Caenorhabditis elegans: one gene and its partners. The protein of the gene in region 1 interacts with the protein of each later gene in a pairwise test. Each region holds a gene or a part of one and is shown in the gene's direction. Other genes may lie near its edges.

Region 1 (5,547 bases):
AGAAACCGCAATCGTTCTCGATGTTGGCAGGAAATGAAGGTTGGAAAAAAAAATTAATCGCGGTATCTTTTTAAACATAATATAGACATAAACTTTGATCTTATTACCGTGCAAAATCACAAAATTTTGTTCGGTAACGATTTCTGATGATTTTTAGAACATTGATAAGATTTTGATAAGACATCAGACAATTACGTGAGTTTCATGAGAAATGGATACCAGAGACAATCTTGTCGACATCTCAATATGTTTCTTAAAATTTACACGAAAACCTTGACATCGGGTGGCAACATATTGCCCAATTTTGGAACAAAAATATTTACTTGCTAAAAACAAAAGTTAGGCAACACTCGAAAGGAAACAACGATTTTAAGTAACAGATACATTTTCTTGTACCTCAATTTTTATTATTAGCAAAATAAAGTTCTTTATGATATATGACGTATGTAAGATGTAGGAACAAACAATTAATTCCCAGAAGCCTGTAATTTATTTTAACGGACTAGAAATTTTCCAACACTTTTTCCTTTACTTATCTCATACTATTCAGGAGGCGGTGGCGGATGCGGATGTGGAAGTTCCTGTGGTGGATGTAACATGGGATGCTCCTGCCTACCACCTCCCCCTTCTCCAGTATGTATGCCACCTCCACCTCCACCGTGCCCGATGCCAATCCCGTGTCCACCTCCTCCGCCTGCCTGCTCGTGCCCGCCACCGGTAACCATGTATCAGGTAATTTTACTGTAAAATTTGCCTAATTTCATTGTTGTTATATCTTTTCAGCCCTGTATGGTTCCTCAATACGTTCCTCGATGCAGTGGTGGATGCGGAGGGTGTGGTGGTGGATACGGTGGCGGTTACGGTGGTGGGTGTGGTCGAAGAAGACGTGCGATCAACAATCAGACGATACATTGATATGTACAATGGTTTTTGCTTATATAACATCTTTTCTTTCAGTCATAACACAAATAGTACAAAAATAAAATGTTAAACATTCAAAAGTTACAGAATGAAGTTCCTAGAATCTAGTACGACGTGGATTCTGTAATAATTTTCAAATAAAATGCTTATAACGAGTGTTCTGTAAAATATGAGCCTTGTGGATTCTGAGGTCCTGAAACGACAAATAAAATGTTGAACTGGGGCTTGCGCTTTCAAAGAGGAATGCAGCTGTATATGTAGTTAATGGTGGTCTATTTCAATATTTTGCACAGTGTTTCACAAGTTTAAAAAATGCGTACCTAAAGACGCACCGAGATTTGGATCTCGCCTCAAGACAAAGTTTATGTTTTTTTTTTCCAATTTACCGGGAATCATAATAAATATTTTCTCGTGACGAATTTCAATCCGCATTGAAGTTTCAGAAAACTGCGACATTAGTCATCAATATTTAGTGTACCCTTTAAAATCTCAGCTACAATAAATTCTTCATTTTTCGGAATCGATTGGAAAAGGGTATTTAGAATTTCAGAAATCTTTTTTTTAAAGCTATATTTAAAAAAAAAAAATAAAAATTCCTAACCAATTATTGATATTAATGGAGAAAAACGCACCGAAAACGGTCAAATTTGAAAAACCGCGAAAAACGAATTTTGTCTGCCTGCCTGCGTCTCTTCAATTCCTCCAGTGTCTCGTCTTCCTCAAAACAACCAGACGAGAGCGCTCATTTCGCCATTTTTTGTGTTACAGGCTGCATTTCTTCCTATTCCTTATTTTTGCTTCATTTTTTCGTTTTTTCAAGTCAAATTGATTGACAGAATTTACAATTGTAGAAATGAAAATTGAATTTTTAACGAAACGCCGACACAAATCTGAAAATTTGTTGGAAAATGTTATAATTTCTTCGCTTCTTCTGAACGCATGATTTCCCAACAATTTTAATTGCATTCCTATCCATCTATTAGCAATATAGTTTTTTCTTAACAAGTCGACTCTGGAAAATATCAAAAAATTCCTAACGACCTTCAAAAACGACATTTCCCACTGGTCACTGCGACCCGCATCAGCTGTTTTCCAATTCGAACATTTTATGCCTGCGTCTCCAAGAGCTGCTGATTCATTCTCTGGCAAACACATGATTCCTCGAGTCGTTTTTACACTGAGACGTAGAAGACAGACGACCTAGAATGTTTCGAAATCACACTCTAACTCTCTCAATGATTTTACTCTCCTTTATATATTGCTAGCAGTAACCAGTGCTTAGTGTTTGCATTCTCGATCATACGACCTCACTCTTCTCATATATTTTTCTCATTTTTCAACTCGAGATTTTGTTATTATCACTCACTAAGTAATATTTTTCAGAGAATGAACGATCCGCTTGACTCCCTCTCGAATGACGAATTCGAGATAATCGAGACTTTTGACCGTAAGTTTTTATTTTATTTTAAAAAAAGGACCTAAAAATTCAAGCTCCCAAGCTAACCCAATGAGAAAATATAACTTTTGTCTAGAAATAAATTGTTTGCATCATGATTTCGAAATTTCTTCGCATTTTTTGAAATTATGGGTCAACTTTCTGAAATCGATTTATTTGTTATTTCACAATCGAGGATTTTTAAAAATTCAAAAAAAAATTCCAGCTGAAACAGAAGATCGTGAGGATCAATGGAGTATTCAGCAGAGTATCCGAATCGAGCCAATTTCAATCCAGATGCCGAATACACTTCAATCACAGCGCGCTCCATCTCCTGTCGGATCGAAGGCCCCGGAGTCGTTGAAAGACGAAGATCCAGATCGTACACCTGAAGCATCAATCGTTGAAACACCGCTCCTTACCGAAACTTTGAAGGAAGATCGTACTCCAATGTCAACTCCTCTCGCGTCTCTTGTCAATTCGAGTCAATCTCCTGAATTCACTCTTCAGAATATGTCTATTGTGTCCGAGTCTGAATGTTCCAGTTAGTTTTAAACCAAAACTTATCATAAATTATTTATTTGACCAAGTAAATTCCAGATAATTCCTCTCTTGTGAACGTGGCGGACGTTGAATCAACAGAAATCGCTTTGAGAACATCACTTCTTCTTGTGAGCGAGCTGAAATCTCAACTTCAAGCTGCAAAAATGTCTGAATCCACTCTTCTGAAATCAAATTCAAACCATGAAATTGAAGAAAACAAGAAACTATCTGAGAAAATGGAAGTTATGAAGAACGAGTTCGAATTGAAGATGCAAGAATCAGCTGCTAGCGTAGAGAAAGTTATCCAGGAGAAAGACTCGGCTATCGAGCAGCTCAAAGTGCAATTGGCTCAGAGCCAACAGGTGGCCGAGCTGTGGAAGCAGGGAGCCGAGAAAAACAGCAACGCTCAGTACAGTGACTCGAAGACTACTATTGATAGACTTTTGGAGGAGAACTCGAAATTGAGAAATCTGGTTGATGAAGAGGTTGCTCGCCGGCTCGAAGAATCTGAGCGTCGCAAGCTGGCGGAGGATCAGTTGAAACATGCAAGAGGAGGCTCTGTCTTTGATCCACCAGCCTCTTTTGTTGCATCGCAGTTGGCGGAAAGAACCACATATTCATTGAATCTGGAACATGAGCTTATCACTCTGAGAAAAGAATTGGAGGAAACTAAAGAAGCACTGAAGAAATCTGTAGAAGAGTCGAGCAACAAGGATGAGATAGTTAGTGCTCTGCATGAGGTGCGGTTTTGATAACTTTTTTTTAAATTAGTTAACCATAGAAACCGTTCAAGCGGTCATTGCTATCTTAAATTTTTAATTTAGTGCTAAAACAACGTTGTTTTTCAACGACAAACATAAGATTTCATTTAACAATTTTTTGCAAAAAATACCAGCTTGCAGGACCAACAGGAGAGCACCCGCATGCTCGCTTCGAACGAGCAGGTGATCAACAGTCTGAAGCAGAAATGTCGTCAACTTGGAGTGCTGGAAGACTTCTCGAGCTAAGCCGTCAAATTGTTCATTTTATCTCCCACCAATAATTCTCATTTATCACGCCACATTGTGTACATTCAATACTTTTAAATTCTTGTTTTCATGATTTGTTCTATTTTGTATATTATCTTGCAAAACCCGTGTCAATAAAAATTATGATGTAGAAAAAATTCTAATCATTTCTCAGCAATTACTCGAATTTAGTCGGTAGTTTATTGGTAAATTGAAATGAAAAAAATAATTTAATAATTGCAGGTTTTTGTAAAAGATGTACTCTTTGCTCACACGACGGGTTATAGTATTAGGAAATGGTGAGTGAAAACAATAACGATACAAACGTACATATATTCAAGATCTAACGATTCGAGAAAATTCATAATGAAATTTAACTGAGAGATAATCGATCTATTTTTGCGCCAAAAATACGGTACTCTGTATCGACACGACATTTTTTTGTTAAAAGCAAACGGGGGTGCACCTTTAAAGTGTACTGTAATTTCAAACTTCCGATGCTGTGGAATTTTTTAATTTTAATCGATTTTTCAGAGTTGTTATTGCGACTTGTTATATTGTATGTATTGTTAATTGTTTAGTTTTAGTTTTTTTTTCAAATAAATAAATGCATTTTGAACGAAACAATTCGGAGAAATTTTCGCACCAACAAAAGTTTTATAAATACAGTACTCTTTAAAGGCGCGCACAATTTTTTAGTTTACAAAACTTTTTCGCGTCGAGACCGGGAAATGTTTTTAGCGCGAAAATTGCGAAATTTTGCGTCTGGCTAATATGGAAGTTTTTACAAATGATCAAGGTTAAAAATAATAAAAACTACAATCAAGGTTGTCAATTCCCGTGTCCCGTTTGTCCCGTTGTCCCGATTTTGGGGTGTTTCCACGGGAACGGGAATTCCCATTGTCCCGTTTTTAAAATTTTCACGGGAACGAGAATTCCCGCTGTCCCGTTTTTGTCATTGTTACGGGACACTGACACCCTTGACTACAATTACAATGTTTGATCTGTGTTATCATGCTCTCATTTTCATATCGGTATTTCAATTACATAATTTCATCGACACTATTGAAACGATTGTCATGATTTCTGCCTACTGATGATATCTAGACACTTCACTGTATTAACAGCACTCAACTTGCAAACCAAGATCAAAAGTTAGCATTTTGTATATAGTCCTCCGCTTTTCTACGTACTTCCTTTCTCCAAATATCATCTAAACCTTCAAAAACATATTGATAACTTCTATATCATTATTTTTTTTCTATTACTTAAGAAAGAAGTTGTATATTTCATTCGAGAAATTGATTAAAAAATCGAATTGTAAGAAATAATTTCAGTTTGCATTCGAAACTTTTCAATTAGAGGAGCAATGACTAAAGTTAATGGAAATTCAAATGGAAATGGAATATCTGCTTCCACAGATCTTCTTGATACGGTATCAAACTTTTTAAATAAAAATTTTTAATTGTAATGTTTTCAGCCATCTGCATATACTCAAAAGTCCAATAAAACTCATACTTCAATCGACTTGAGATCGGATACGGTAAGACTTTTTGCATTTTTTTAAATTAACTATAGCTATTTTTTGACTGCTGTAAGATTCCCATTGCATCTAGATTCTAGAAAATCTAGATTTTCAAT
Region 2 (4,808 bases), on another chromosome or scaffold:
TCGTCTTCTTCTTTTTTCTCTATCTTCTCTCGTTTTCCTTCCATTTCCGCCCGGAAGTTGCACTCTGATTTGCTCATTTTTCTCTATTTTCTCTAGAATGTTTCTATCTTGTGTTCGTCTCGATCCTAACGAGCAAGAATGACGAATGTTTTAGCTGTTCATAAATCGATTTGATTAAAGTTTTGGATATATTGTTGAAAAATAACTAATTCAATGATTTTTGAGTAGCGACAATGCTTTTATTAGCTCAATGATTAATATTCCAGATACAATTTGCAATATCATAAAAGTTGAAAATTTTATACTGATTATTCGTAAGAATTTCATTGAAAATTTAATGAGTCACATTTTCGTCTCCCTCTGCCAATTTCTTTGACTATTGTATCACTAAACCGGTTGTCGTCCTCTTCTTGAAGTCGCCATGGTTGTTGTATTCTACTACACAACGTCTTCTTTTTTCTTTCTGTTTCGGTCTGACGTCTCCAGGGATAAATTCTAAAACATTAATACATGTGTTTTGTTTTTTTTTTAAAGATTTTTCAATTTTCTTAGTTATTTACTGTCCCCCACAAACTATTTTCGCCTAGAATATTTCTCATTGTGTTATCAGAACATGTTCTAGAACAATACCTGAAATATTGCGAAATATTAAAAAGAAAAAAGATCTCGTGGTCAGACACGGGACAAATGTATTTCATATGGCATAATCTTCTTTTGATTTTCCCCTATTGAGATTAGAAAACGCGCGAGACTAGAGATCCATATCTCACATTCAATTGAAAACAAACGAAGCAGACGCTTCTTGTGTTTGAGATTGTTCACATTGATATTAGCTTTTTTGCAAAAAATAGTTAATTTTCAGAAATTCCAATCACAGAAAGCTCTGAATTTTCTTTCTGCTATTACCTTTTACGTCAAAAATACGGTACCCGGTCTCGACACGACAAAAAAACTGAAAATTCTAAAAAAAAAACTTTCGAATTTCCATCAATTTTTCATTTTTTTTTTGATTAAAATAATAATTTTAACAAATCGCGAGAAACATTATAGAAAATCGATTAAAATTCCACAACAACAAAAATTTGAAATTACAGTAATCTTATCAGTTTGCATATAACAAAATTGTCGTGTCGAGACCCGGTACCGTACTTTTGGCGCACAAAAGCCGCAATATTCCGCGTATGGGTAATAATATTATTGATAGTAGGATATTTTCGCTTACTATTTTTTAATTTAAAATTAAAATAGTCACTTTGTCTCTAATTTCAAGTGTCAGAGGCAAATCGACGTTTTTATTGTTGAAATCTATAGAAAACGAGAAATTTTTTTTTGCCAAAATAGGTATTTTCTGTCAAGTTATAAAACTTACATCCTACAAAAGCTAAAAACTGCTTGGCTTTTTTTTTATCAATCAAATCTGTTCCTCTCGAAATTATCCAGATAGTTGAACTACAGTAACCCAGATTATTCAATTGTGATAATTTTGATTATTTAACATTCATCGGTGGTATCCCTGGCTCTTTTGAATAAAATGTCACTGTTGCATGTTGAAATTATCATATTAATATAGAGTGCTGGGACACACCGACCACAGCAGCAAACACTGTTTCAAACGATTTTTCTCTCATCGTCTCCTCTTCCATTCACTCTCTCGTCAATTCAGTCTCTGTCTCATTCGTTGGCCAGTGTTATCATATTATCATTTTGTCCGCGCTGAATACATTTTTATCACAAAGTGAACCCTCCATTACCACCACTCACTGTGTTTTTTAGGAAAAAATCGATAAAAACAAAGATTTATTTTTTCAGAAGAAAAACATCGTCTGCAACCAAGGGAAATCATCTCCAACGCCAAATCTTGTTTTTTTTTTTTGTATTTGAACAGATTTCTTTAAATAGCCCGTTTTTTTGTTTGATTTGTTCTTTTTTTTATGTCTTTCTCATAATTTGTTTCTCCTTCTGCCTTTTTTAAAAAAATTAAATGTAATCAGAATGCTCAATTTTTCTATTTTTGTTTCTCAGTGTTTTGCTCAAATCCCAGTACAGTCGACTCTTCTTTTCTTCTTGGTTATTTATATTTGACAACGTGTTTTCTTCTTTTCTTAATATTTCATTAGGATTCGCTTTTTCATTAGATTAGGCTATATTTATAGATAAAGACCACAAAAAATAATAAGATCTTTTATAAAATTGAACTCTTCTCGGAATATTGGTTATTTTCCAATCGTTGCATTCATTTTTCATTTGTAAAATTATTCTCGAGATTTTCACTCAAACGCTCACGTTTTCAGATTTCTAGAAATGACCGGTCATCAGGATCCAGTTAAGCAGCCTCTTCCAGACAGTGTGAGTTTTTTTTTTGATTAAAAAGCCATTTGAACTTGAATTATATTTTCTCGAGTTCTATACATTAAAAATAATTCAAAATAAAATTTCAGCCTCCAACTGACGAAGGAATGTCAAGCTCATCAGCTCAGCCATCGGCTCCATCAGCTCCCGAGCAACAGCCAACATCGCCGTCTCGTCCACCTCCACCGGCTGGATTTGTCTATCCCAGCACAGACATTCAAAACTCTTCAGAAGTTCATGTCAGCGCTCCAGTTCCAGCAGGACCACCACCACCGCATGCTTCTGCTGGACCAGCTCCTACTATGAGTTCCTACGATATGCCACCACCATCCTATCAGGCTGCCATGTCATATCCAGCTGCACCGACGTACGGTGGATCGACTGATCCTAAATATCACAATGGAGGGCAACCGCCGATCTACTACCAGCCACCACAGATTAGTAAGTTTTAATAAATCTTTGAAGCTCGGAAAGCAACAAATAACTTTTAATTTCAAACAATAACAAATAAGTAATCCGTTTTTTATATTAAACATTTTCAGCACAAACGCGTCTCCCACAACCGGCCGCAATTGAGCAGATCGTTCGAGCAGTTCGTATTCAAAATCCTGCTGGAAGTAATGTCATAGTTCATGTTCAACCTGGAGCACCATGCCGTCGTTGTGTAAGCTTTGATTAAATCTTTATTCAATCAATCAATTAAAAAACTTTCAGACCGTTGGAGTGATCACTCGTCAAACTGATATGTGCTGTCTTCTATGTCTGATTATGCTCACAATCTTCACATTCCCATTTGGATTGATCTTCTTGTGCTGTGTCCCGTGTACCGTTCAAAATCGATGCACTCACTGTAATCGACTCGCTTAAGAAGAAATTTCAATTTATATTTTATCCGCTGTAGTATTATTATTTCCCCCTTCCTACCAAGTAGACATATTAACTGTTCCATACCATAATCAAAAATTGTAAAATTAGTGAACTGTACTGGTCACGAGTGTGTTTTTGTGTTACCGTTTTATGTTTAGTATTTTATGCAACGAAGTCAGTTCAGATACTGAATTCATCACTCTTCCTCCCCCTTTTCCCTCGAAGCCTTATTCCAAAACCCATTCAGATTATGCGTGTCGCTGTGAATATCATTGAAACAATTGAAATAAAGATATTACCGATTATCTAGAAGTTTGATATGAGTTCTCCAAAAGAAAAGTACCAGGTCTCGCATCGACAGATTTCATTAATTCCGAAAAAACGTGCGCCTTTGTGGAGTACTGTAGTTACGGAATTATTTCGATTTTTCCTGGTTTTTCGCCAGTTTCTTAAAAATTTATTGTTTTTGTAAATATATTTTTCAAAGAAACGGGTGAAAGTTTATGGAACATAAATAAAATCCTACAACAACGAGGAGTTGGGAACTACAGTACTTCTTAAAAGCGCACTTGAGAAAAACAATCGCTTCGAGACCAGGTATCGTATTTTTGAGGCAGGAATCGCGAAATTGTTCAAAACCTCGCAATTAATTAAAAATCAATTTCTCGGGACATTATGAAATAAAATAATTTTTATGAAATAAAATTGTTTGAAAATTTATGGAACATCAGATAAAATCCTGCAACAACGAGAAGTTTGGAACTACAGTACTCCTCAAAGGCGCAGACCCGTTTGCATTTATTGATAAATTTGTCGTGTCGAGACCGGCTACCTTGTTATTGGCTGTATAATAAGCATGATCTTTCAAGCCGGTTACTCCTGCAGTATCAAAACCATCCATCAGCCACAAGAAAGCGGACTTACAAAGGAACAAAATTGACAGAAAGCTAAGAAACTGAAGAAAGAAGAAGAAGGTGCTTATTGAATTAAAATTCTTTATTTATTTATATATATATTTATTTATTTATATATAAATTATAGTTTTAACAAAAACATTTCAGTTATCAATCCCGAATTTTACTAGGGAGAAGACTAGGTGAGGACAACGAATTTGGGCCGGTGTACGGAGCACCTACCAACAACAGAGGAGAACTTATTGCTGTTGAGAAAACAATTGAGAAAGTAATTAACATTAAAAAACAACAAAAAACGAGCTAAGAAAAACTATTTATTGGGCACAAAAGGCCAAAGAAAGTTGCATTTCTGTTGGCTACTGGCTCTTCTAGTGTCGATCATCTTATGGTCCAAGGTAGCACGATTGGTCAGTGCGGGCCTTGAAGACCTGTCCACCTGGGTTGGTGTTTCCTCCGGAACCCTGGTTCTGCTGTTGTTGTCCACCACCATTTCCTCCTTGTGCATAGTCTTCGCGGGCATATCCCGACGACGAGGCATTGGATCCCATGTAGCCTGATCCATAGCCTCCAGCGCCCATGTAAGCCGACTTGTCCGCCATCGTTGTCTTTCGTTTGGGGTTATTCAGAGAAACTTGCTCAGAATACTGATTGACTGAGGTTTTCTGCCCCGTTATATAA
Region 3 (4,987 bases), on another chromosome or scaffold:
TTTTCCGTTTTTTGTAACAATCTTTCAAATCTCTTGAAGGAATCGGCGGCGTCGGACGATTCCGGTTCATCGTCCACTTCCATTGAGGGATCGTTCCCGGAAGACTGAAACGTAGAATGTAATGTATTGTTTTATGTGAAGAATGTAAAAAATATCTTTAATAAAACGCAAAACCTATGTACATCAAAAAATTATTTACCTCCGGGATGTTGGAATCGGTGTCCATAGGCTCGTCATTTATTTCGTTCGAAGACTCGTGAACCGACATTTTCTGTGACAATCACCAATTAACAACTGTACAAATTACCTCGGGCGTTTACAGGTTTGATAAAGAAAACATTTATAATCGAACAAACCGATAATTCTAACAAAAACGTGTGAAAAAGGTAACCAGCGCGCGAAAATGAGGCAACCAGAAATTGAACAGCATTTTCGCGGTTCTCAGTGGATACGCAGACACGGCGACGCGCAAATACACAGAAAACTAATAAATGCGCGCGAATTTTAAAAATAGATGCTTGCCGGATTTCTACAGTAATCAGTTTAAAGAACTCATTGAAAAGTTTTATTCGAGAATAAAAAGTTGTACAAAAACAAGCTGTTTCTTTATGCTGACCCCGTATTTCAAATCTATGAGAAAAAGAAGGATGCTTTGAATTGTAAATCGATAAATCAGAAAGTCAATCGATAAATGTCAGCCCCTCACTTAATTCGCAGAAGAACAATATTTACAAATTCAAAAATGGCTGCCACACTTCGTCAACGATGTTTCCATCGGCTTCCACTATTTTGCGCCTTATTATCTGTTATGCTCAGTGAGCATAACAGATAATAATAACAGATAATAATAAGCATTGCTCACCGCATTTTTATCCTATGACATTTTTGAATTAAAGAAAATTGTTCCAACATATCTAATTCCGATATACTTTCTACTTCATTTTGTTCCTTTTTACATTCCACACTGCCTTGTTCATTTTGGATTGACAAAAATTAGACAAAAACCATGGAAGTTTATCGCAAGTCACGTGGGAGCAGTAATTGTAAATTTAGTAATTATTTTTGTGGTGGTGAGCACAACTTTTTATAAATCTGTGAGTCAGAATAATTGTTTTGTTTGATATACATCCCTAGAAAGCGTTTGAACCTTCAACAAGGCTATATGTCGATTTACGCAGGCTGTGTACTCCTCGAGGAGAAGTTATACTTTTTGTTGAGAATTTGTGGTCTAAACTCCTCATTTTCACTACTTTTGAGAATTCTTTTTGAGTTTTGAATTAAAATCATAATTTATTTCTTAATTATAGTGCGGTAAGCCAAAAATCAAAGTACCCTATTATAGTTTCATGCACTTTTCAGAAGGGTTTTGCCTAAAGTTCTTAAAATCTACACATGGCCGTCTTCGACGCTTTTTACGGCCATTCATTTTCAAACGAGAGAGAATTTGGAAGCTTGTGACCTACTATCAATAATTATTTTCAGATCTACCTGCTTTGTACCTTGTATCCATTATCAATACTCTCCTACACTACAGCTTTGGGAATTCTCCAGCCTCATCATAACCTCCAACTCTCAGTTTCAACAGATAGGCGTTTTTCTAATTCATTGGCCTTCTCGAAATCAACTCTAATTACTGCGTTCTACACGTTTCTCGTCATATTCATTTTCTTCTTTCCTATGAAAGTATTTGAAAATCCAAACCAACAAAAGTTGAGAGAAATTACATTAATTCTTCTAGAACTTTTGAACTTTTCTCTTATTGTTATGACCTATAATACTTTGATTATCATGTCAGTGAATGTACTCACATTCGTTGGAAAGCATGTGGTCACTGGAGTAGACTGTGTAAGTCTTAAGACTAGTCTTCTTGTTAAGCTAGATGACGGGAAGTGGATTGGAGACGTTGGGATCTTGGAACGATGTTGATTTGTTTATTTTTTTTAATAATTGTTACTTGCTTTGTTTTTTTGTAAAATAAATTAACTGAAAATTCTCCTGTGTAAGAATTTCATGCTTCTCAAAAACACAACAAAAAACATTTCACGCGGAAAATAGTTCTCGCGTGACCTTTGCCACACACTCTTCCGACCCACGTCATCCACGTGGCAACGCCGAGACTTCTTCCGAAACTCTTTTATTAACATATTCTGCTTCGCATGTTGCTTTCGATTTTTTTGTTCGTGCTCAATAGAATAGAAATTTCTGAAAAAAATGGATCGTCTTATCCGTTCGTTGTTGATGAATCAGAACAAGCAGGCAACTGATAAACTTGATCATCCGGACACTTCTGAAACGTAAGTTTAAATTTTTTATGGATTCCAGAATTTGTTGAAATTTCAGAGTGAACATTTCCTCGTTGGCTTTGCTGAAAATGCTGCGCCATGCTCGTTCTGGAATCCCGTTGGAGGTGATGGGTCTGATGCTCGGAGACTTTGTGGACGACTACACTATCAATGTTACGGACGTTTTTGCAATGCCGCAGAGTGGAACCAGTGTGACCGTGGAATCGGTGGATCCTGTGTATCAGACAAAGCATATGGACTTGCTGAAATTGGTTGGAAGAACTGAAAATGTTGTTGGATGGTGAGTAAAGGGGACCCAAGAATATAGGCAATCTTTTAGAATCTACGACGCAGCAGATATAGTTTTCAGTTTTTATAATCAAAGCCTCTATTGAAATTATATAACAACTTTCAGGTACCATTCGCATCCAGGATTCGGATGCTGGCTATCTTCTGTGGACGTAAACACTCAACAGTCTTTCGAAGCTCTCCATCCCCGTGCTGTTGCAGTTGTCGTTGATCCGATTCAGAGTGTGAAGGGGAAAGTTATGCTGGACGCATTCCGATCTGTAAACCCACTCAACTTGCAAATTCGTCCTCTCGCTCCAACTGCTGAACCACGACAGACTACTTCCAATCTTGGACATCTCACTAAGCCATCGCTAATCTCTGTTGTTCATGGTCTTGGCACCAAGTACTATTCGTTGAATGTCGCCTATCGCATGGGGTCGAATGAGCAGAAGATGTTGATGTGTTTGAATAAGAAGAGTTGGTATGATCAATTGAATATGTCAACTTACTCGGAGCTTGAGAAGAAGCAGGAGGAGAAGTTCAAGAGCATCAACAAACTGATTGCAGTCTTCAATAAGGATATTGACGAAGTTAAGGAGAAACCAATTGCAGATAAGAAAGGAAAGACTCAAGAAGAAGTCAAAAAGTTTGGAAAAATCAATGCAAAACAGCAATTGCAAATGGTAAAAATCGAATAAACGTACAGTGAAAAAATGTTTTAATTTCAGATCACTTCTAGCCTTCTCAACGATTCCCTCTGCCATCAGCTTACTGCAATGATCAACGCAAAATCAATGACATGAACTAGCAACAATTTAAATTGTGTTTCTGAATGACGTTCTTCCCATTTCCATATCACATTCAAATCAATAAATAGAATCATTGTACAGATCTTATCTGACTGCCCTCCTCATCTGCCTACTTACTACCTATTTTCTCGATTCAGCTGAATTTCGGTGTTCCATGTTCGCCCAGTACAGATATTAATTGTATAGTTTGTTGGCAGTGCAATTACACATTTGAAGAACCTGTTTGTGTGGTAGGCAGGTAGGCATACGTAGCCTTGACGGAAGTCAGGAATTTTTGTGCCTACTGCAAAGAATGGGCACTTTCATAGATAAAGTTCTTATCAAAAACAAAACATAAAACCCGTGAAAAATATAGAACTTCCTTCCGAGGTTACCATTTACGTGTTCCAATAACCTACTAACCTTGTTCTCTTGTTTTTGCTACATTTAGACTTCACAATCAATTCAGATTTTCAACAGCTTCACAGAAAGCATCCGAGGAGATCCGTAAGTTATACCAAACCAGTTTCAGCATGATTTGGCAAAATGTGCTTCAGTGTCGGTATTCAAAGTGAGACGTGTACTAGGAAGGAAATAAATAAGAGATTCGCATGAAGCTTTGTCACGCTATATTTTCAACTTTTGTTGTATTCTTTGTGGCTAGTGGAGCCGGAGAAAAACAAGGTAAATTGAAAATTTCTGATTGATTCACAAGAAAATGTCATATTCCTGGACTCTCACATGAAACTTATGTTAATTACTATTCAGGCGAATCTCAACTTCAACAAATCTACGATGAGTTATCCATTCTGTCTCGTGTAACCAACGCAATAGCTCTACAGGCTGCAGCTCTATCCAAAACTGTCAAAATCCGTGAAGTGATCACCGAGCTTCTGAAAGTTGATAATGGTAACTTCTCAAACTTGTTGAGCCTAGATCCTGCACATCTTGTCAAAAACCTTGACGAGCTTCACAAGAAAAGCCTTCAAGCTGTGAGTGGTTCCAATGAACAGTTACAACAGGATCTCAAAGAAATGATAGCGATGAATGGACTATTGGCAGCTGTAGAGTCTGAAAATTACACTGAAAAAGCAACAGTGAATTCTCTGATTGTTCTGAAAAAGGTTGATGAGAAGATGGAAATTTGTGATGAAAGTTTGATCACAATTATGTTCAATATTTCTCAGGCAATGAGTGGAGTTCCATTTGCTGAATCTGACGAGATGAAAATTTTCTCGTCAATGAAAACTATGAAAAAGGCGTTTTATAAATGCATTTCCAAGTTTCCAGCATTTATGCAAAAACTATATGAATACAACTATCCGTTATCTGGTTTCCTGGAACTCAATGACACAATGAATACAATTAAAGCATTGAATGAATTGGACATTGCAAACAAAATTCCTAACATGCTGCAAAAGTTCAAAACTCCATTTTTGAATATTTTGGCTGTGGGGGACCACAGGAACAAAGGAAATACTGGAAAACTGTTACAATCTGCAATAACACTTTTCAAAAAAACAGTTTACTCGAATAGTTCAACACGCTTATTTCTGACTGCTGGATTCCCGGAGAGTGGAGACATGAAACGTGTGGCAAAGGATCTTACAAGTGATTGGTTCAAAA
Region 4 (4,849 bases), on another chromosome or scaffold:
GTAAATCAGACTCGACAGGATCCCGAAGATTGTTCTCTAGGAGTGGCAATGTAGTCGTGTCAACGTGGGGATCACAAAGGCGGACCATCATTTCTCCAGGTTGAGTTGCATAAACTTTGAAAATGTTCTTTCCTAAGTCGACGATAATCTTATCACAATCCGAAAGCGCTTCATAAGGAATGCTACCATGAGTTTTTACGACTTCAGCAAGATTTTGTGTTGGATTGCGAGGCTTGATCGTACGATGACGAAGCACTGAATGATTGCGACGAGATGATTGAATAGTTAGAATAGATGTGTTGTCTGTAAATTCAATATTTGTTCATTAGCAGCGAAAATGTTTTCTCACTGTCGTCTTCTTGAGCACGCGACTGACGAAGAATTCCATTTTGTGGAACGAGTGACGAAGATACCGGACATTGTTGGCTTGCCACAGAGACAGTTCCAAAGCGCAATGCAATGTCGGTCATATCAGCGGTTCGATCTCGAGATATAGCATTTCCTGGATAGTCATCGATGCTTTCTTGATTCGAGTTGAAAATTTTTGAATCTTTGCTTCCATTTTCTGGGGGCACTTCGAAACTGTTGAACCCGTCACTGAAAATTGATAAATAACATCTGAAAAACAGTGATCAAAATGTGCCCTTACAAGGAATCGGATGTTTGATCTCTAATAGTTGAAGGAGCGGATACTACAGATTGTTCAAACGCTGAAGCTGAACCTGTAAAATAAATTACTATTGGAAAGCATCATTTGATCACTTTTACCGCCAAAAGATTCAGATTGAATAGAAACATCTGCTGACGGATTTTGTTCACTTTTTTGAGTTGGATCGGCATTGTCACGATCAATACAATCAACGAAGATGTCACCTTTTTCGCTAAGACGCCAGAAATGCAGATATTCGTTGAAAGGAGGAACATTGAGCTGAATGTATAGTTCACTGAAATCAAAACATTCAATTTAGAACTGACTATAAAAGCGCAACAATACTTTTGCGCAAGTGAATTACCTTTCCGATATGTTCTTTCCCCATGCTGGTAAACAATACAACTGTTTGAACTTATTGGCAAGAGCTGCCAGTGTTACAATCTTGCGATTTGGCTCATCAGGATGTGAAACTCCTATCTCATCAGCATATTCTTTCAAAACCTCTGCAAGGTTTTTTACGCGAGAAATTGTTTTTGCTGGACCCAACTTGTGTCTTGCTTTGAATCTAAAAAACAAATCATTGACAACGATTTTTTAAACTTCCACATACTGCTCAGGTGTTCCTCTCGATTTAGCGATTTCCTCTGACGCATACGGACCTCTGAATGCCCGGAATGATGACCCATGAGTGCTGAGGTTATTAGTAGCTCCTGAACCTAAAAACGAGCGGGCCGGGCGTTTTGAGCTCGACTGCTGCTGGACCATTTCGATAATATCTTGGTTGGCTTCAGTAGTTCTTGGCCCATATCGGTGTATTCCATCACGGCCGAAAGTGTGTACAATTGACTCCGAGCATGCTTGAAGAAGATCGTCCAAAGTCGAACAGTTATATCTTTTCGGATCAGGACATGCACCATAAGAATCCCTGAAACAAAGGTAGTGTCGTTATTTTTCGCAAAAAGAAACTCACAGCAGACGCCGTCTGATTTCTTCTGTACTAATTGGTATTTTTTCCGCAACCAAAACAGCTTGAAGCTCGATTTTGACTTTACGCATAGGGTCTACCTTTTGATTCTCAGTTACATTGATCGACTTTGGTTGCACCTGAAAATGTGTTTATTACTATTTACCTTCACAGATAATTGAATACCTTTCGAACTCTTTCAAAAATTTCATCCCCTTCCGGATCAGAATCTCCGAAAAGCTCATTAGCAGGCATCTCGCGGGATAAGTTAACGATGGACCTAAACTGCAACTTGATTAAAACAAATATTCGAAGATCACGGCAAATAAAAAGTACATAAAACCAAATCCATTGAAAAATATCCACGAAATAGATGAACTTTCAATTTTGAATCTGAAGCCGCGCGCCGTGCGCGCGTAAACTTTAGTCATTCGCACTTTCGCGGTGAGACCCACTGCAGCGTACGCATTTTCCGGGTGAGACCATCTATTGCAATGAATTAACTGCGCCTTTGATACACTTAAAGTTTGAAAAGCTTGAAAACCGATTTATTTAATTTTGTTTCTTTCTCGATCGAGTTTCAAAATATAAACAAAAATAATGTAATGCTTGAAGATTGATTCTTGATTAAGATCTCTGATGCTAATCCAACTTAGGTGCACTGCCGGTCTTTAATTAAAATCAAACATTTTTTGTTTGTTCATTCTTTATATTCAAAGTTCTTTTTTGAAATTGTTTTATAGTTATAACTAGAGAGTTATAGTGATAATCGAGATGAATGTTCTAATAATTACTTGTTATCTAGCAGAAGTCTTTGAGCTTTATTTAATCGTATTTTAAGACTCGAAACACGTATGGATTGGATCCAATGCAATCATTGTGGCATTAAACCAAATCAAACGAAACTGTACCTAACAGCATGCGGTCACGTTTTCTGTCAAAACTGTACGAAAGCTGGTTAGTAAATTTTAATAATAAATTTAGCTAGAATTTATATAGCATTTTTAGCATTTAACTCGCAGTGCTACTTGTGTAAAAAACCGCTAAAGGTGGATGAAATCAATAAAAACTTGCGACCTGATTTGATGGTAATGTTTCAGTCGACTTAAAATTCAATTTAAATAAAAAACCATCTCAGGAATTGTTCAAAGATCCGCGACAGCTGGCGTCAGACCTGGTCAACGAGCTGAAACAAGTTGTCGCATTTCAGGCGAAACAGCGAGAAATATATGTAAAATGTAAAAACGCCGAGGTTATCTGTTGACAATTGAATAACCAATAAAATTAATAATTTCAGGCGAAAAAAGATACCGAGCGATTCGCCGAAGCACGCTCAAAACACGTGGAAAAGACTCAAGAAATCGAAAAACGAAAGAAAGCTTTCCTTGAAGATAATGTCAAACTGAAAAATGCAAAAGAGGAAAAGAATCAGCTGATGGCCAGGCTGAAGGAACTACGCGAACAACCATCTCAAAATCTTTCTGTAAATAAACGCCGATCGAACACTCGAACTGAGCCGCCTTTCTCGAAGATATCCCGAACTGGTCCTCCCTCTGTGATGCGAAAAGCTAGTCATGAATTTTCATTAAACCTGCGTGATCAGTCAACGTCCAAGATTCTCACCAGCACTCCTCTCTCCAATGTTAGTTTTATCTCCTGTTTTCCAGTCCCCAGTACACTTGGTATTTTGGATAATCTTTAATGTCAATCCAAAACATCTGGCTGCCGGGTGTATTGCCAAGAAATCATTTGAATCATGGAACTTTCATTAATCCGCTCGCAATTGCTGTGATTGATTAAGTGTAATTTTTTCCAGATCGATTATAGTCGCCGTGATCATAGGAATAGATTGTTTGGCGCAGGACTTGAGCATCCGTCGCCAATTCTTCGTCAATAAAACTCCCTGTATGTCACCTCCGTATTTTTATCCTTTTTCCACAATTTTTATTTCTATTCAAAATCAAAGGTTTATTGCCCCCGTAATATCTCCCAAAGAATATTTATTCCCCTCTTCACTTTCACAGTATTTGCATCTTTATCGTTTTGTAACATCACCTGCAGATTTTGTAAACTAAAGATTTATTGATTGTTTTATGGTACAAAACGCGACGCGCAATTCCAGTAAATGCGGTTAGCGTTTCCTCATTCTTTCCTCCAGCCATCACCACACCACCAGGTGGCTCGAACTCCACTCTCTCGAAAAATGTCTCCAAATTGCGAAACTCCTACTTCTTCTTTGTCAACGTCTCTTCGATTTGTACCGTCTCTCGCATGTATTGCTGAAGAAGAGCCAAAAGTAATCGGAATCCGAAAAATAACCGTTCCCGGATCTTCGAAACCGTTCCAAGTGCAAATACCACTCTACGATTTGAATATATATGCCCCTGAACCACCGAAACAGCCACTTCCGGACAGTTACCAACGATTGCTTGCAGAAATGGATCAATATATCGGAGGTCATCAGAATTCGGAGATGTATAAAGAAATGGTGAGATTTGCTTTTATTCTGGAATTATTCTTTTACTTTGCCTTGTGTTTCAGGCCAAAAATCTACGACACAAAGTTGCAGTGGAACAAGCAGAAAATAATCGACTTTCGGTGAGTTTTCAAAAGTTTTGCAAAGAGTTTTCAGTTGGTTCTAAATCAAGGGTGTCATTTTTCGAGCTTTTTTTTGATTTCTCAAGTTTTTTCAGGAAATATCGGAAAATCAAGAAACGAAAATTTTTGAATTATATAATTAATTGTCGATTTTTTAAAAATTGAAAAACGAAAATTTTTCGATTTTTTAAAAATTGAAAAACGAGAATTTTTCGATTTTTAAAAATTGAAAAACGAGAATTTTTCGATTTTTAAAAATTGAAAAACGAGAATTTTTCGATTTTTAAAAATTGAAAAACGAGAATTTTTCGATTTTATAAAAAATCGAAAAATCGACACCCTTGTACTCAATAACTAATTCATCCTGTTCTTTATTTTTTTTTTAGAAATCAAACTTCACAAATCGAGATTGGTACTGGTATGCTGAACAAACGAGAGCCTTTGTAGATGAGCCTGTGATCAATTCTACCAGCAAAACTCAAGAATCCAACATTTCTGAGTGCTTGGAAGAAACCTCATCTTCTGCAAAAAGTACAGTCATGAAGGATGAAGATTTGTTTGATTTAAGCGCCGACTTCTGAGAATCCTACCATCCGCATCATAATTTATCGTATAGTTCTGTCATAATAACTCAC

What was found.
Region 2: the proteins of allo-1 (region 1) and F11G11.5 interact in a two-hybrid assay, tested with the Caenorhabditis elegans proteins (one large-scale study listed by BioGRID).
Region 3: the proteins of allo-1 (region 1) and F37A4.5 interact in a two-hybrid assay, tested with the Caenorhabditis elegans proteins (one large-scale study listed by BioGRID).
Region 4: the proteins of allo-1 (region 1) and zhp-2 interact in a two-hybrid assay, tested with the Caenorhabditis elegans proteins (one large-scale study listed by BioGRID).

The regions. Positions count from the first base shown.
Region 1 is NC_003282.8:10,693,829-10,699,375, reverse strand, and holds allo-1 (Allophagy receptor allo-1), read left to right. Parts: upstream 1-2,303; 5' UTR 2,304-2,307; coding exon 2,308-2,368; intron 2,369-2,582; coding exon 2,583-2,900; intron 2,901-2,956; coding exon 2,957-3,639; intron 3,640-3,794; coding exon 3,795-3,941; 3' UTR 3,942-4,070; downstream 4,071-5,547. Other genes in the region: R102.11 (uncharacterized protein), read left to right, coding at 551-732, 784-915; R102.4 (Beta_elim_lyase domain-containing protein), read left to right, coding at 5,003-5,060, 5,244-5,341, 5,387-5,449. UniProt on the Caenorhabditis elegans protein: Autophagy receptor, which is required for allophagy, an autophagic process in which paternal organelles, including mitochondria and membranous organelles, are degraded in early embryos.
Region 2 is NC_003280.10:4,855,632-4,860,439, forward strand, and holds F11G11.5 (Membrane protein BRI3), read left to right. Parts: upstream 1-2,291; 5' UTR 2,292-2,301; coding exon 2,302-2,346; intron 2,347-2,438; coding exon 2,439-2,790; intron 2,791-2,891; coding exon 2,892-3,013; intron 3,014-3,063; coding exon 3,064-3,216; 3' UTR 3,217-3,521; downstream 3,522-4,808. Other genes in the region: nspd-5 (Nematode Specific Peptide family, group D), read right to left, coding at 4,514-4,729.
Region 3 is NC_003281.10:6,709,733-6,714,719, forward strand, and holds F37A4.5 (Mov34/MPN/PAD-1 family protein), read left to right. Parts: upstream 1-2,136; 5' UTR 2,137-2,211; coding exon 2,212-2,294; intron 2,295-2,340; coding exon 2,341-2,583; intron 2,584-2,697; coding exon 2,698-3,256; intron 3,257-3,301; coding exon 3,302-3,376; 3' UTR 3,377-3,459; downstream 3,460-4,987. Other genes in the region: Chromatin-remodeling complex ATPase chain isw-1, read right to left, coding at 1-104, 200-268; Ankyrin repeat-containing protein F37A4.4, read left to right, coding at 3,973-4,045, 4,130-4,987.
Region 4 is NC_003279.8:8,484,665-8,489,513, reverse strand, and holds zhp-2 (Zip homologous protein 2), read left to right. Parts: upstream 1-2,451; 5' UTR 2,452-2,470; coding exon 2,471-2,573; intron 2,574-2,624; coding exon 2,625-2,704; intron 2,705-2,754; coding exon 2,755-2,868; intron 2,869-2,913; coding exon 2,914-3,258; intron 3,259-3,431; exon of another isoform or gene 3,432-3,432; coding exon 3,433-3,513; 3' UTR 3,514-3,704; downstream 3,705-4,849. Other genes in the region: lotr-1 (HTH OST-type domain-containing protein), read right to left, coding at 1-303, 350-597, 650-722, 769-944, 1,014-1,217, 1,263-1,577, 1,623-1,756, 1,803-1,871; D1081.6 (Carn_acyltransf domain-containing protein), read left to right, coding at 3,820-4,104, 4,158-4,214, 4,601-4,795.